Arabidopsis thaliana: one gene and its partner. The protein of the gene in region 1 interacts with the protein of each later gene in a pairwise test. Each region holds a gene or a part of one and is shown in the gene's direction. Other genes may lie near its edges.

What was found. Proteins that work in one complex are often made in the same cells at the same time.
Region 2: the proteins of AGL55 (region 1) and AGL78 interact in a two-hybrid assay, tested with the Arabidopsis thaliana proteins (one large-scale study listed by BioGRID).

What each region holds. Positions count from the first base shown.
Region 1 is NC_003070.9:22,426,702-22,434,213, reverse strand, and holds AGL55 (AGAMOUS-like 55), read left to right. Parts: upstream 1-3,852; 5' UTR 3,853-3,946; coding exon 3,947-4,522; downstream 4,523-7,512. Other genes in the region: AT1G60913 (Rapid alkalinization factor (RALF) family protein), read left to right, coding at 5,370-5,609; AT1G60900 (U2 snRNP auxilliary factor, large subunit, splicing factor), read right to left, coding at 6,408-6,545, 6,625-6,692, 6,800-6,935, 7,004-7,450.
Region 2 is NC_003076.8:26,106,243-26,114,244, forward strand, and holds AGL78 (AGAMOUS-like 78), read left to right. Parts: upstream 1-4,083; coding exon 4,084-5,109; 3' UTR 5,110-5,161; downstream 5,162-8,002. Other genes in the region: AT5G65320 (basic helix-loop-helix (bHLH) DNA-binding superfamily protein), read right to left, coding at 1,126-1,215, 1,374-1,775, 2,000-2,398; AT5G65340 (MIZU-KUSSEI-like protein (Protein of unknown function, DUF617)), read right to left, coding at 7,442-8,002.

The sequences.
Region 1 (7,512 bases):
TTCTGTTTTTAAGAAACACAAGCTCCCTTTTTTATCTCTTAAAACAATGCTGCAATATGCAGGGTCTTGGTGTTCTGAAGCAGAAGTTTCCAAACATTCCCATGTTAGCTTTGACAGCTACTGCAACAACCAGCGTGAAAGAAGATGTTGTACAAGCTCTCGGGCTGGTAAACTGTGTTGTTTTCCGGCAAAGTTTTAATCGCCCTAATCTATGGTAATGTACTGAAAATAGCTTAAAAGAATGCTGCTTTCAGAATGTTGCTTACCAAAAAATTTGCAGGTATTCTGTTGTTCCCAAGACAAATAAGTGTTTGGAAGATATTGACAAGTTTATCCGGGAAAACCATTTTGATGAATGTGGCATCATTTATTGTCTTTCAAGAATGGACTGCGAAAAAGTCACGGAAGCATTGCGGGTTAGTCGTTTGTTGGCCTTTCTCGTATCTGTTTAAATGGAGGTTTTTACATATTGTGAGCGTACCACATTTGTTATGTTCCAATTTCAGGTGTTTGGCCATAAAGCGGCCTTCTACCATGGCAGTATGGATCCTGGTAAACGTGCCTTTGTACAGAAACAATGGAGCAAGGATGAAATCAATATAATATGTGCTACAGTGGCATTTGGAATGGGTAATTAATGGTCTCTGTTATAGCCACTTTGATTGATTGAAGTTTGCTGCCTGCTAACGTTGATATTTCAGGAATCAATAAGCCTGATGTTCGTTTTGTAATTCATCATTCTCTACCAAAGTCCATAGAAGGCTATCATCAGGTGTTTTATTTGAACACTGAATTATAAATATCCTAGTAAACTGATTTATAAATATCCTAGTAAACTGAAAAGATGTATTTTTTCTCATACAAGGAATGTGGTCGTGCTGGTAGAGACGGCCAGAGGTCATCATGTGTTTTGTATTACAGTTACACTGATTATGTAAGTTGCATAAATCACAATATCAAGTTACAACTCAGGGGGAATACCTACGCTCTTGGTCATGTTTGTGGTTAAAAAATACATCTTTTCAGATTCGAGTGAAGCATATGATTAGCCAAGGAGGACTTGGCCAAGGCCAGATGAAAATGGGATATAATTGCAAAGCAAGTTCAGGGAGGATGCTCGAAACGAACACGGAAAACCTTCTCCGCATGGTACCTATTGGCAAGATTCTCTGTGTTTGCTTTCAAAGTTCGAACTCTACTTGCTGAGATATATTTCCATATTTTGCTGCTTCAGGTTAGTTACTGTGAAAATGAGGTGGATTGTCGACGTTTCTTACAGCTAGTTCATTTGGGAGAAAAATTTGATTCGACAAACTGCAAAAACACATGTGATAATTGTTCCAGCAGCAAAATTTTGATTGACAAAGATGTAACTGTGATTGCAAGGCAACTGGTATAGGATTCATCTGAAGTTCATCATTACTTTACCTGCTGGATGTTGTACCAGTGACGTACCTCAATCTTTTGTGCCTGGATAGGTGGCACTGGTTAAGCTAACAGGAGAAAGATTTTCGTCAGCTCATATTGTAGAAATCTACAGGGGATCCTTAAACCAGTCGGTATGCACAACTAACACTTATATTTATTCTATTTCCAGAATCTGGTAACCATTTATGTCTCACAAAACATGTTTACTTTACTTCGCTGGTATCTTCAAGCCCATATCCTACCAGTGTCACTCACTTGCAAGTAATTGGCTTTTGATTAGGTCAAGAGAAACAGACAAGACACTTTGCACCTCCACGGAGCAGGAAAGCATTTAACTAAAAGTGAAGCCTCTCGTATTTTGCACTACCTTGTGACAGAGGATATTCTCGCAGAGGGTGTTAAAAAAAGTGAACTGTATGGATCTGTATCGTCATTGCTGAAGGTACAAATAATTCTTATATCGGTTTTTACTATATTTGATGTTGTAAAAGAGATCTTTGTGGATATGTATCATTGTTGCTGGGGGTTTGTTTCTGGTAACATATTGCTTTTTGCGCTTTTCTCTCTGGTTAATTTATGCTTAAGAATGAATGTGTGCGTGTACACAGGTGACATCTATTTATCTATCTTTTTGTATAGGTGAACAGATCAAAGGCCGCCTCGCTCTTATCTGGAGGCCAGAGTATAACAATGAGGTTTGACTTTACACTCGAGATATATCTTTCTTTTATGTTCACATAAACTACTTGCAACCAAATTGATGTCATTAGTAGCTCAAACGTTGGGAAATGTTCTGAAATCTACCTGTTCTTACTGCAATGTTATTGCTGCTCTTCAGTAGTTCTATATTCTTGAGCGAGCTAATAGAGTTGGTTATATGTTTATTCGTTTTGAAAAAGGTTAGTTTTAGCTAAGACTTGCATATCTCTTACAGATTTCCTTCGACCATAAAAGTGTCAAAGCAGAGCAAATCCACAGCAAATCCAGCAAAAGTTCCACTTAAGCAAACTACCCTTCCAATGGCAAAAGCTGCCCCACAAGATTCGGTATATCTTCTTGTATCCTTGTTTCTATCTATTGCTCAAAGATTAAAAACCACCACTCTAAATTGCTAAAGGCTGCTTATTTTTTCTCAATGTCGGTCTAGAATCTCTCCGGCATTTTGTTGACAGCCTTGAAAAATCTTCGGACTGATATTGTCAAAGAATCGCCAGATTTAGTCATGGCATATCATATATTCGGGTAAGTTGACGATCCATTTAATGATATTTTCAGTTTCTTTCTCAGATCATAAGTAATAGAAAAATCCTTGTGTGTTTATAGCAATGCGACGCTTAAAGAGATAAGTAAACGACTTCCCAGAACCAAAGAGGAACTCCTTGATATCAATGGTCTAGGAAAGTAAGTATCTTGAAGCTTTTTGAACGCTACTCTCTCTCTTTGTATAACCAAAGGTATGAAGAAAACTCGGGGGATTTTGGTGTTTTAAACTCTAAACAGAGCCAAGGTGAGCAAATACGGAGATCGGTTATTGGAAACCATAGATTCAACCATCAACGACCACTACAAAACCCGTCCCGGTTCAGGGAAGAGGAGAAGAGACGAGAACGTTAATCCGAATGTAGCAGAAGATGATGATCCCGATTGGAGTGCGAGTCAGTCTCACAAAAAGGTAGTGAAGAACAAAAAATAACACGTTCATAAACTTTAAAGGACCCAAACAAACTAAAAAATTAAGAAGCTATAGAAATCATTTACATTTGCAAAAATAGTAATTCAATACCATCTGTCAAGCAACATATTTGCCCATACCGGGGTGTGATTTAGGGTTAGGTTAAATAAACCTTTACACCTAATCCACCATGTCCCATGAACTATTGTTAATATGTCATATTCTGCAACTATTTATATACTCATGCAATTCAAATCATCCTTTCGGTATCACGTGTCAAATTTTCCTCATATTTAAATTTGTGTAATTGCAAAACCCTAGTTTCAATGGGTTATCTTATAATCTCAATTCACGACCCCTAAATGTCTCCACTGCGAACTATTTAATAACCTCTACCAAATATTAGTTTCAACGACTCCTCTGTCCATAATCGCATCTTAGCCACTCGACAAACAGAGGAAAGAGACGATATAGAGTGTCTCTTGTCGCGCAAGAAACCGTCTCTAAGGTTAGGGTTTTGGCATATGAGAGAATGTGAACATAAAAAAAGGAAAAACAAGTAGAAAAGAGTAGTACTCTTATGTATTTTACCAAAATAGTTCCAAAAAAAGGTAATCTTAGGAAACAACCCCTTTGCCAAAAAAAAACAAAAGGAAACAACCCATTATGGAAATTTTCTTAATAGAGAATGAATCAATAATGTAAAAAGTTGAGATATGGGAAGAGAGTACACTAGTATAAAGAGAGGACGATGAAAACAATCTCTGTCTTTCTGTGTAATTAGCTTTCTACAAGTTTCAAACAATCTCTGTCTGTAATTTGGCTTTCTTCCTTTGAAGTTTCAATATGGGAGGCACAAAAAGAAAGATAGAGATGAAGAGAATCGAAGATAAGAACGTGAGAGCAGTTGCTTTCACAAAACGCAAAAGCGGACTCTTCCACAAAGCTTCAGAGCTCTGTCTCCTCTCTCCGGGGACTCAAATCGCAATCTTAGCAACTCCTCTTTCTTCCCACTCCCATGCTTCTTTCTACTCTTTCGGTCATTCCTCTGTCGATCACGTTGTCTCCTCTCTCCTTCACAATCAGCATCCATCTCTTCCCACAAACCAAGATAACAGATCAGGGTTAGGGTTTTGGTGGGAAGACCAAGCCTTTGACAGATTGGAGAACGTCGACGAGTTGAAAGAGGCAGTCGATGCGGTTTCGAGGATGTTGAACAATGTGAGGCTACGATTAGATGATGCCGTGAAGAGCAATCAAAGAGATGGAAGTTTAGTGATTCATCAGGAGGATGAGGAGGTTCTTCAGCTTGGCTACAAAGACACAAATCAAATTACCAAACTCGAAGGTGAAACTTCCGCTTCTGCAAGTTTGTTAAAGAACGTAGTGGATAATCTACACATTGATGATCGTTATTACTGATTTCAACATTGATCCTTTGATTTAACCAACTTACTTAATCATCATGTCTTGTTTATTTAGGCTATTATCTAATCTAGCTGTGCATTATTATTTTTTGGATTTTTTCGGTGTTTTGGTTTGGGAAAAAAAAAAGCTACTAATATAAAACCAAAATTTTGTTCAGTTTGATTGAGACTGAAATACATTTAATTAAATAACAAAAGAAAGGTTCATTGTCGATTTTATTAGCAAACAAGTCAGTTGTCCAGCCTTTGGTATGAAGAAAGGTGGCGATTAGGTCTTTGTACCGTTTCTGATTCTTCTCGAACTCTGTTGGCTCTGTCTCGGCCTCGTGGTGGCTTGGTACAGTAGTGTGTAATTCCACTGGAGATAGAGAAAGAGGATTTGAGAAACTCATGTTGTGTTCTTTTGAAGATGAGTGCTGGTCTCTGTGTCCATGAAGCTAGTTTTCCCATATATTATTGCTGCTATAATCGTAACTAAACCTATCCATAAACTTATCCATTAGATCGCAGGGAATGTTTCATTCTAAGACATGTAACTATTCTTATCTCTAGAGATTTCATACCAAACAGAACAAACGAAAAGAATTATCTCTAGAGATTTCATACCAAAAAGAAAATGAAAGAAACATAAATTCCTCCTAATGAAACAAAATTGAAATATAAGATCCACTAAGTTCCTTATGCACACATATTATGCACTGGCCTTCTGTATTTAGAATCATCTCTCTTGTTATAAATTAAAAAAAAAAAAAAAACCAATAATCACCAACTCAAACTGCAAAATACAACAACAAAGAAAAAGACCAAGAAGATTAAATACATCATTTTTCGGTTTCTAAACAATGGCTGCACACAAAATGAGTCTTACTAGTCTTTTCTTTGTGTCAATAGTGATTGTATTATCATTGTTCAGCGGATTCGGAGAAGGAAGATACATAAAATATAGAGCTATTGCAAAAGATAGAGTTCCAGACTGCACTCAAGATCCCAAAAATTGTGTCAGAGTTCCAGTCAACCAGTACCATCTTCCTCCTGGTTGTCAAAACACTACACATTGTTATCGTGAAAAGTATCATATTTAATTATGTATTCATATATACAAATCATTTTCTACTAAATATGAAAAAAAATTTATCACTAATCTACATTATTGATGTGATATGGAACTTGTTACATTATCAAATTTTAATTATTTTAAAATTCTTTCATTTTTTTTAACTTCAAATTATTGTTATATATATTTTAATAAATTATAAATTAATGTGTTATCAGGCATAACTTCAAGTTCGTGTAACATGAGATGTGTCTTGTGAAAGCATGACATGTAACTTTCGTTGTAAAATAAAATAAAAAACAAATGAGCTCAGATATGAGGCTATATTATCCGATTCATCGGAGAATTGCTAAGGACCCAACCTTAGCTTAAAGCAAATTTCATCAACGCTCAAATGCACCAGCCGGGAATTGAACCCGGGTCTGTACCGTGGCAGGGTACTATTCTACCACTAGACCACTGGTGCTACTTGCCTACTATCTTACTTTTCTAATATAAATCCAGTATTTCACGTTTAGTGAGAGCAATTGCACATGTTCCAGCATTGCATTTAGAAACTGATGTGGTTTGGTCTTTTAGTTTTTAAAAGAACAATAATATAAACTGATGTGGTTTGGTTAGTGTTCAATGAAACCAAAAGCTACTATTACCAACACACACCTTAATTGATTGTGCCTGGACAAGTACTATTGCAGTCAGATTCTAGACAAATTTCTCCATTTAGTAGAGAGAGAACTAAACATGTAAAAAACTTAAAAATAAAAAAGAACCAAACTTGTTGCTAAGAGATCCAAACTAAAAGCTTAAGAAGAAGACGATAGATAGCTCAGTCTTCGTAGTCGCCTTGGGCATACTTGTCTTCGGGGTAATACACAGCCACTACTTGGTTTCCTCCAAATTTTCTTCCATTCATCCCCGATCTGGCCTTTGATGAGCCATCCACATCCGCATACTCTAAGAAAACCTGCATTAGTATTACCATTAGAGTATGCAATTTATATATGAATTTGGTAGACATTTGTATCTGAGGACTGAAATCTAACCTTCCCAACTCCTGGTGTTGGGTCATGATCTGGATTAGGCCTCGGAATCACAACATTCACTAAGTTACCTACACACACAACAATGATTTATCAAAGTTCATTTTAGACCATGAGCCTCAGTAATGTGCTATTGGTATAATGTCAGAACAGACAATAAGAAAATCTAATTGCTTACCGAATTTTCCACCTTCTTGTCGCATGTCCTCCATTATCTCTGCATATTCTTCATCGTCTCTAAGATCATCAGCTGTAACCACTTGAGTCAAACAGACAATCTTGGTGGGAGTACCTCCTGGTTGGAACATAAGCCTCTGCAACAAAGTTTGAGACAGATTTAGCATTACTGATCATTTAGATAGAGTGAATCAGAATCCTTTACCTGCAAAGCAATCTGTTGTTGGGCATAAAGTAAGACTTCTTCTTGCTCGGGTTTAGGTTGAATTGCACCCTGGATTGCACGCCTAACTGTAAGTGTCTTATCACCCATCTTAATCCCGTTTAGAGCGGCACATGCAATATCTGTTACTGACGGATCTTGGTAAACACAGAATGCATATCCCTTCGAATTTCCAGTCTCCCTGTCTTTGACCAAGTTGAAACCTCTTAGGGGCCCAAAAGACTCCAAGAGCTCCCTGATCTGTACCTCTGTGAAGTAATAGGGAAGTCCGCCCACAAAAATGCGGTCGGGACCCTCAAGCCCACCAGTAGACCCTGAAGACAATCCAACAGCCCCTAAGTTGAGGTTGGGATTAGGCTGGCTCGGACCAAGAGTTGCAGCAAGAGACGGGTTATAGTCAGTTGGCCTCCTCACCTTTACAGGAACTCCCTAGAGATGAAAAAAGCTATGATTTCAGATAGGTTTCAATACTCATAATACAGATTGTAACT
Region 2 (8,002 bases), on another chromosome or scaffold:
TATTAGTAAAGATTAGTCATTTGTATTGTGACAACTAATATGATGATTTCGTATGTACCCATCTAAAATCTTAGAATAGAAAAATATAAACTAAAATAGGTTTGGTGTTTCTTTTAAATTGAGAATTATATAATCTTACAAACAGAGTTTGGTTGATGAGCTGGTTATCCTATGAAAGCAACTAATTCCACTAGATTCTTGATGTTCTTTTTTGTCTTCTAGAAACATTGATCACACGACATGAATGATCAGTTACATAATTTTCGAAAAACCAAAAATCTGAAATTTACCACCCCTTATATAAAATATCTATTTAAATATGTAGCTAAACAGGTAAAAAGGTCACATTACCAAACACCTTTATCCAATGCTTTTTAAAAATCCACCAAATATTATTACTCAAAAACATGTGTCAAATTTAAACCATAATATCACACATCAACAACACTACCATAAACTTTTATCAAACTATTATGCTACATGATTTCTTATGAAATTTTGATTTCAAAATGACATTTACCCCATCCGAATAATGTAAACTAGAGAAATTTTGTAAGTTGGGCCGCTCAATGAAGGCATGCTTTTTCAGATGTTTCGGTCACCGATACTAGCGTTTAATTGTAGACGAGGCTCGTTCGTATTTCGTAATCTACACGAGCTTTCAGTAATCTCGAGGAACAATGATCCGGTTATGCAAAATTGAATCGCATCCGCGTCCGGTTTTACTGATCTAAATACGAGATATGTTTCAAAGGCCCATTTCTTGTAATGAGAAGGCCCATCGTGTGAATCTTATTATATTGCGCTTAAAATTAGCTCTTCCATAATATTAAATATCTGATGTTTCTTGAATATAACCAAATTTTACTAGTGTATAAAAGAATACACAAATATTTTTTTAAAACTCAACTGATTACATATACTCATCAATTCATCATGCTTGTATTTTATATCCTCAATTTAATAGACGTCAACACAATGTTATTAACTCAGTAAACCAACAAAAAAAAAAAAAAAACTAAACAACTTTAATGTTAATTAATTGTATATATGTAAATTACACACATAAGAGATTGTTTATACAATAAAATAGAATTTCAAAGTTAGCTAGTATGTAAACAAAATTCAACGTTCCTTGTGAACTCTTCTAACGACTTCATGCACCGTATTTGCGACCTCATTACCAGAAGGCGTCAATTGACAATCTGCCTCTACCTAATACAGAGACCAATCATTTTGAGCATATATAGTTGACTTTTAAAACAAGAAGCCTTATTTTAGTTATTTCATATAAATTTATGTTAACTAACAACTTCTATAATCATATATATTATCTTTTTCCCCTAAAACAAGAGAGGAAGAGAATAGATTACCTTGACGCTAAAAGTGAAGAGAGACATGTCTTTGGAAGTTGTGAGGTTGAGATGAAGAGTACTTAAACCTAAAGAGTTAAACTCATTGATAATCTTGAAGAGCAATCTTGGCTGTGTCTTCGTTAACACTTTAATGTTGGCATGTCTTTCTACCATTGTAACCTCCACGTCAGCAACCACCTCTAGTCGCTTGTGATGGTGGTGGCTCGAGGAGGATGAGGAGGCAGTGGCGGTGGCAGTGGCAGTGGCGGTGGAGTATTGAGGGAACATGAAGAAGTCGGAAAATATATTTGGTGATTGATTGAGTTTAGTAGCTTTTAATTGGGCTTCGAGAGATTGGAGACGTTGTTCTAGCTTCTTCAGATAGCTAATGGTCCCTTCTATGATTGATGCTTGGTCATTCTATTATAGGAAAAACCCAAAAATTTATCAATTCGCAATTTTATTTAGTAATTGATTCAAAAACAAATATACTAAATTACTATTATTTAATTAACGGCTTACTTTTAATAAGGAACCTTAACACTCTTTGTCTAAACTAAATTTTAACCGAACATATCAAATTATCAACATTGCTTAGCCTGCTTATATCCTATAAGCTAAATTAAAGATAGAAAGAAACTCACAGGTTGAGAATAAGAGAGAGGCATCATAGACTTGAGGATAGACAGAAAATGATTCATCTGTTTTCTCCGGTTACGCTCGACGGCAATGTGATTCATCCTTTGATTCTCTTTATCTACAATCGTTTTTTCACTTCTCCTTCTCCTCTTCCGCGACAGAAAGTCACCGCAACCATATCTTTCTCGTAGAGGAGATAACTTTTCAGTTAAGTGAGATTTTTGCTCTGTTATGGAGCAGGAGAGTGTCGCTGATGAATAAGAAGAGGACGAAATGGAATTTTGCTGTGACGCCACGTCTTCAGAGTTCGAAACGACGATGTTTTGAAAGTAATCCAACATTTCGTAACTTAAGGATGTTTCCACGAGTGAAAAGCCATGAGGGTAATCTTGTTGGAACATCATATATAGCCTCTCTCTCTCTCAACCAAACGAGCACAAAAAGAAATGAAGGAGTTAATGCATAAAAGTTAATGGCTACGTTATCTTTTACACAAAGTAATGTTTATGCGTGTATTTATAATGGGGTCTTGTTGGTTTGTTTTAATTTATTAATCTTTGGAGGACTTTAATAATCAAATTTTCACGACGTTTATGTAAGAAATGAAGCCCTAGCTCTGAAGAGATCAACCATTTGATTAATTTTAACCCGATTTTACGCAATAAATTAAGAAACGAATGCAATAAATTCTTAATACTAAGATCAACAATTAGTTTATAACTTTATATTTTACCCGATTTTACGCTTTATATATCGTCATGAAATCTCTCATGTTTGACTAAGGGGTATTTTTTATACCATGGACTTTTTGCTCAAAACCTCAGTTACAAATAGAAATAAAAACTCTTACAATTGATGGAAAACAATCTATAGGGAGTTTATTTATTTATTGACTGCAATCAAATATACTATCAAATAAAGAAAATTGGATTATGAAATGAATCTAAAGGGATACTTCAGCAACAGATCCCACATAACATAATCCAATAAGAACGTTCAGAGATATACACAACAAATAAGAATGTTAACTTTCATGATCGCAAAACAAATCTTAATACTTTACCATTCAAGTAATATATTTAATGAGGCATAAACAATTTATATTTCTTTGTGATTGCCAATCACAATGTCGTTTTATATGATTGGTACATTTCATCTAACAAAGAAACGAGTCTATTTGTGAGTTGAAAATTCGTGATTTGTGGTTCACTATTGGATCGTCGTTATCAATCTGACATTAATTGTACCCTATTATATATATTGTTGTGTCTATAATAAGGCAAGCTGGTTACTACATTTGTCGACTTCCACATTCCCAATTATTGTGTATTTTCTTGACTAGCTAATACATATATAACAAGAATTAATCTTCCACAATATGAATTGTGATGCGTTTACAGTGGTAATTTTGCAATAAACAGAGTGAGTATATATATACCCTTCGAACATTTAGTTTTAATTATTTGAAGAGTGTTTTTATGTTAGTTATTTTTCACAACATTCTGATTGGAGAAACAATTTATAGATTTTTGAAAACCCTTAATTAACAACTATAACGTAAAAAAAAATTTGAAAAAAAAAGAAAAAAAAAAAGATAGAAGAAACCTAGAAATAAAATGAGTTGAAATCTTTCTTCAATTTTTTGAAAACCCTTAATTAACAATTAAGAGTTTTTTTCTTAGAGACAGATTTTCCTTTTTCCTCCAAGTTTTTGTTGCACAATTAATAATTACACAATCAAATCTATAGTATTTTTTTAATTAGATCTTAATTTTGTACAGCCTAAAATAAAGTACCATCGAGAAACTAATTAAAAGTTTCCTTTTTTTTTGGTCTCTACCATCGAGACATTAATTAAGGAAATCTACATTAGATATTGGAAATCGAATCGAATCGTAGGAGCGTAGATCTTCACGCCTCGCGATTAACAACGACGCGTCGCGTTTGCTTGTTCCCGTAGGCACCAAGGCATCTATATAAACATATTGAGTTCACAATGTTTCACCCTCAATTCGACAATACTTCTTCTTCGTGTGTTCTCTCTCTCGGAAAAAACCCTAGTTTCTTGCCGAATCAAGGCAAAGTCACGATGAAGCAAGCTTCTTCTTCTTCTTCGTCACGTAATTCAACAAGTTTAACAAATAGACTTAAAACCATCTTCAAGAAAGCTGAAGAGCTTTCGATTCTCTGTGCTATTGAGGTTTGCGTCATCTATTACGGACCAGACGGTGAACTGAGAACATGGCCTAAGGAGAGAGAGACAGTGAAAGACATGGCTTTGAGGTATAAAGAGGCCAGAAAACGCAAGAAGAGCCGCAATCTTCATGAGTTCCTCGAGAAGGAGAAGGACAAGGACAAGGGGAAGACGAATTTGAAGAAGAATTGGTATCCAAACTTTGATCATTACTCTCCTCAACAACTCTCTCAATTGATTCAGTCCTTAGAACGGACTCTTTCTACTCTGCAAGAAAGGCTTCGTATTGTTGAGGCGCAGAAACTACAGAACACAAACTTGGTGCATCAGAGTTTAACACCATCGTATCTGAACCAGACCCAACACTTGAATCCTAGCAAGTTCTCGCTGTTTATGTACAACCATGGAGATGCTACTCTCTCACAACTCCCACTGTCTGCTCCACACTCCAATCAACTCATCAATTACCAGAATCACTTGATGCAGCATGGTTTTGGTCAGAACATGTGTTCGGACAACATCACCAACAACAACTTTGAACATCCTGGCGTGTCAAACACACAAGACTACTCACCGTTACTTTCGGTACAAGCATCTGCAGTGAATAACTACGGGTTGAATAATCACTTGATGCAGCAACAGGATCAGCTTCATGGTTTTGATCAGAACATGTGTATGGTGAGTGAAATCATCAACAACAACAACGGTCTACAACATCCTAATCTCTCAAACACGGTTCCACATGAATTCTCTTCTGATTTCAACCAGAACCCTTATGGTAATGCGGTCGGTAACATTAGCTTCTCTCAAGACATGTTTTCAAGCTATGATGCGAGCAGTCTGCTACAGACATCTTCTCTGCCACCTCTCCACAACATTCCTAGCAGTTATTGTTTTCCTGGCAACTCAAGACTTCTCTGATAACAAAATCTGTCCAAAAGAATTTGTTTTTTTGAAGCTTCATTAAGAGTCAGTCAATAGTTAAGTAGCAAGCGGATCGGAGAGAGATTGAAGCTGTTTCTGCTTCCGATTTCTTCTGTTACTGTTTTTTTTAATATTTTATAGTGTCATTATAACTGCAAAACAAATCCATTTGTTTTTTTTTTTTGTTAAGAAAACAAATCCATTTGTGGAGATTTTGTTTTTACTTTTAAGTTGATACTTTTTTCAGTTAGTATTGACATATATATATGAACTTCCATAAAAAATCTTTCACAAAAACTTGCATGAAACAAATTATAATCTTAAAACCTTAATTCTTGCAACTTAGTATCCTTCTTGTCTGAATCAACTAATATATACAAGGAGATGGAGAGTGGATCTGAGTTCGTGAAGCCTCTAGACTTTTTGCAGAAGAAGAATCTCTGTGTAGTTTCTGAGTAATGGTATGAGGAAGAAGATAAAGATTGAGCTGATTGAATATCTGCAATTAAACTAGCCCTTGTGTTTTATCAAGAAAGTCGATATCACATTGCTCCAGCACTCCCCACTATTATCCAATTCTACAACAGCAACAACAATCCCAGCGAGTACCCAACAAACGATACGCAAAACCCACGAACCTTATCGCCGGAAGACCTCCGATTCTGTCGAGAGAGGAACACCACCGCGTAAAATAACCGGGAATTTGGTACGATTTTGTTTTTTATTTGATTTGGTTCGCCACAAGGTTAATTTGGTCTCAAAACTCAATCCTTTCACCAGGTTTTTATGGCCCGGCCCAATATTAATTTTTAAAGTCCATTTATTTGCAATAAGGCCTATTAGTAATACCCAATAAGCCGAAGATGCAGACGAAGACGATCATTATTGAGAGACATGTATGACGCGTTAAATTTACTTCAGTTTGTGTTTTTGAGATTGTGGTTGGTTAATGGTTACTGCTCAAGAACAAGAAACATAACATGGTGTGGTGTCAGATTTATCATTTTATGTTTCCTTCTTGCTACTAAGATTATATTACTTTTTGTTAAAGATTATAAGGATTATTACGTTATCACCCTGATTGAATAATCCAAGTTTTAGTTGACAAAACAAAAGGAAGAAGAATAATTCCAAGTTTTATGCAATATAGCTTAAATTTTTTGTTCCTCTCAAAATTCGATTATCAAGTTACAAAAAAATGTAATATTTTGCGGATCATCCAAAATAATGAGTAGAATTTTGTGATGTATTGATCTATTTCTTTGGCCAAAAACAAAAGAACATTGGAAAGAGACAGAGAAAGTGGCAAGCTGGTTGTCTTAGCTGTTCTTGATTCCCTCTAAGCAAAAGTATAAAGCTCACGAATGAATGAATAATGTTATAATACCAATAACTTATCTGGTTCTGTGTTATGTAAATTATTATTTTAATCGATAGTTGTTAGTGTTCTTGTAGTGATGGATTCGCCGCGTGGACTCTTATTATTCTCCCATGATGAGTCTCGACTCTCGTTGACCTCATCCCCACGTACGAGTATTTTTTTTATATCTACTATGGAGTATTAATTATTGTTGAAAATTTCGACAAATTAAAACTAGTTACAATAAACAATAGCCGGAACTTCTTCATTGTCACGAAATTTACAAGTTAAGTAGGCAATCCCATTTTTTTTTTCGTTGATCAACGTCAACCATAATTGTGTTTTCGCATTCAACAAAAAAAAAATTGTGTTTTGAATAAATTACACAAAAGTATAATCATTTGAAACAATAAATAAAGAATATGATTTATGTTATATTTATAAAAAACTGCCCATATATAATAGTATTTTGTAAATGAATTACTATATCATTTTGATACTTGAAATAAAACAGTTATAGTAGTTTGTAAAGTATAGTACTGTTGTAAATAATAAACGATATTTGAAATTTAGCTATGCAATTTGCTTGTATGTGTATATATACACACATTCTATTTGTATAGATGGCCAACAGAAATCATTAACTTTATTCCCCAAATTATTGACAATAATAGAAAGCAAATATATAAGATTAAAAAAACTTTGCACTATAAGAAACACATGAACACATGGTCACCACTACAGCATACAAAAGTTGAGATCATCAAAAGCTATGCTTATTACATTTTCATCTAATTAAGCACTGCTAAAAAAATCTACGAGACACATTAATCGGTTAAGTTTGCCTTTTAAAAGGAAGAAAGAAAGAAAAAAACCACCGATGATGATGAATCTCTAAATAATCCCAATTATAGTATCCAATTGCACCGATTGATATCCTTGTGCTAGAACACACAAAACGATCCAAGATCATCTTTTTGACGATCTAGAAAAGAAGATACTTAGTTCTTGACCGATAATCCCACGTGGGTCAACGAGATGGAAAGATTCCGAATCAAACGAACCAAAAACTCGTTTGAAACTCGCTCTTAAGTACATCATATGATCACTTTTCTCTCGGTTTATCTCTTCTCCGTTAACAACTCCGGCTCCTTCAGCCACCGGAGTAAGCACCTTCAACGCAGCTAGCTCAGACTTCGAAGGCTCTCGTTTGATGGCGAATCCAACTTTCCGACCGTTGCAATACATGTTCCATAAAGGTGTTGTAAGAAGTGAAGAGGAAGAATCTTCATGTGAATCATATCCGTCGTTATTGTTTGATTCGAGAGCGATCCTGAGCACGCCTCCTTGCATTTCGCGGGCTAATACCTCGGTAGGGACAGTGAGCTCTAAGAGGACAATGATTGGGTTTAGGGTTTTGGAGTTTGTTGCTTGGATGCAGAAGTTTACTTTGCCACGACGGAAACCGAATATGGTTCCGGTAAAAGTGGAGTTTGTGGCGGTTGAGGAGGCGGAAGAGGTTCTTGGTTT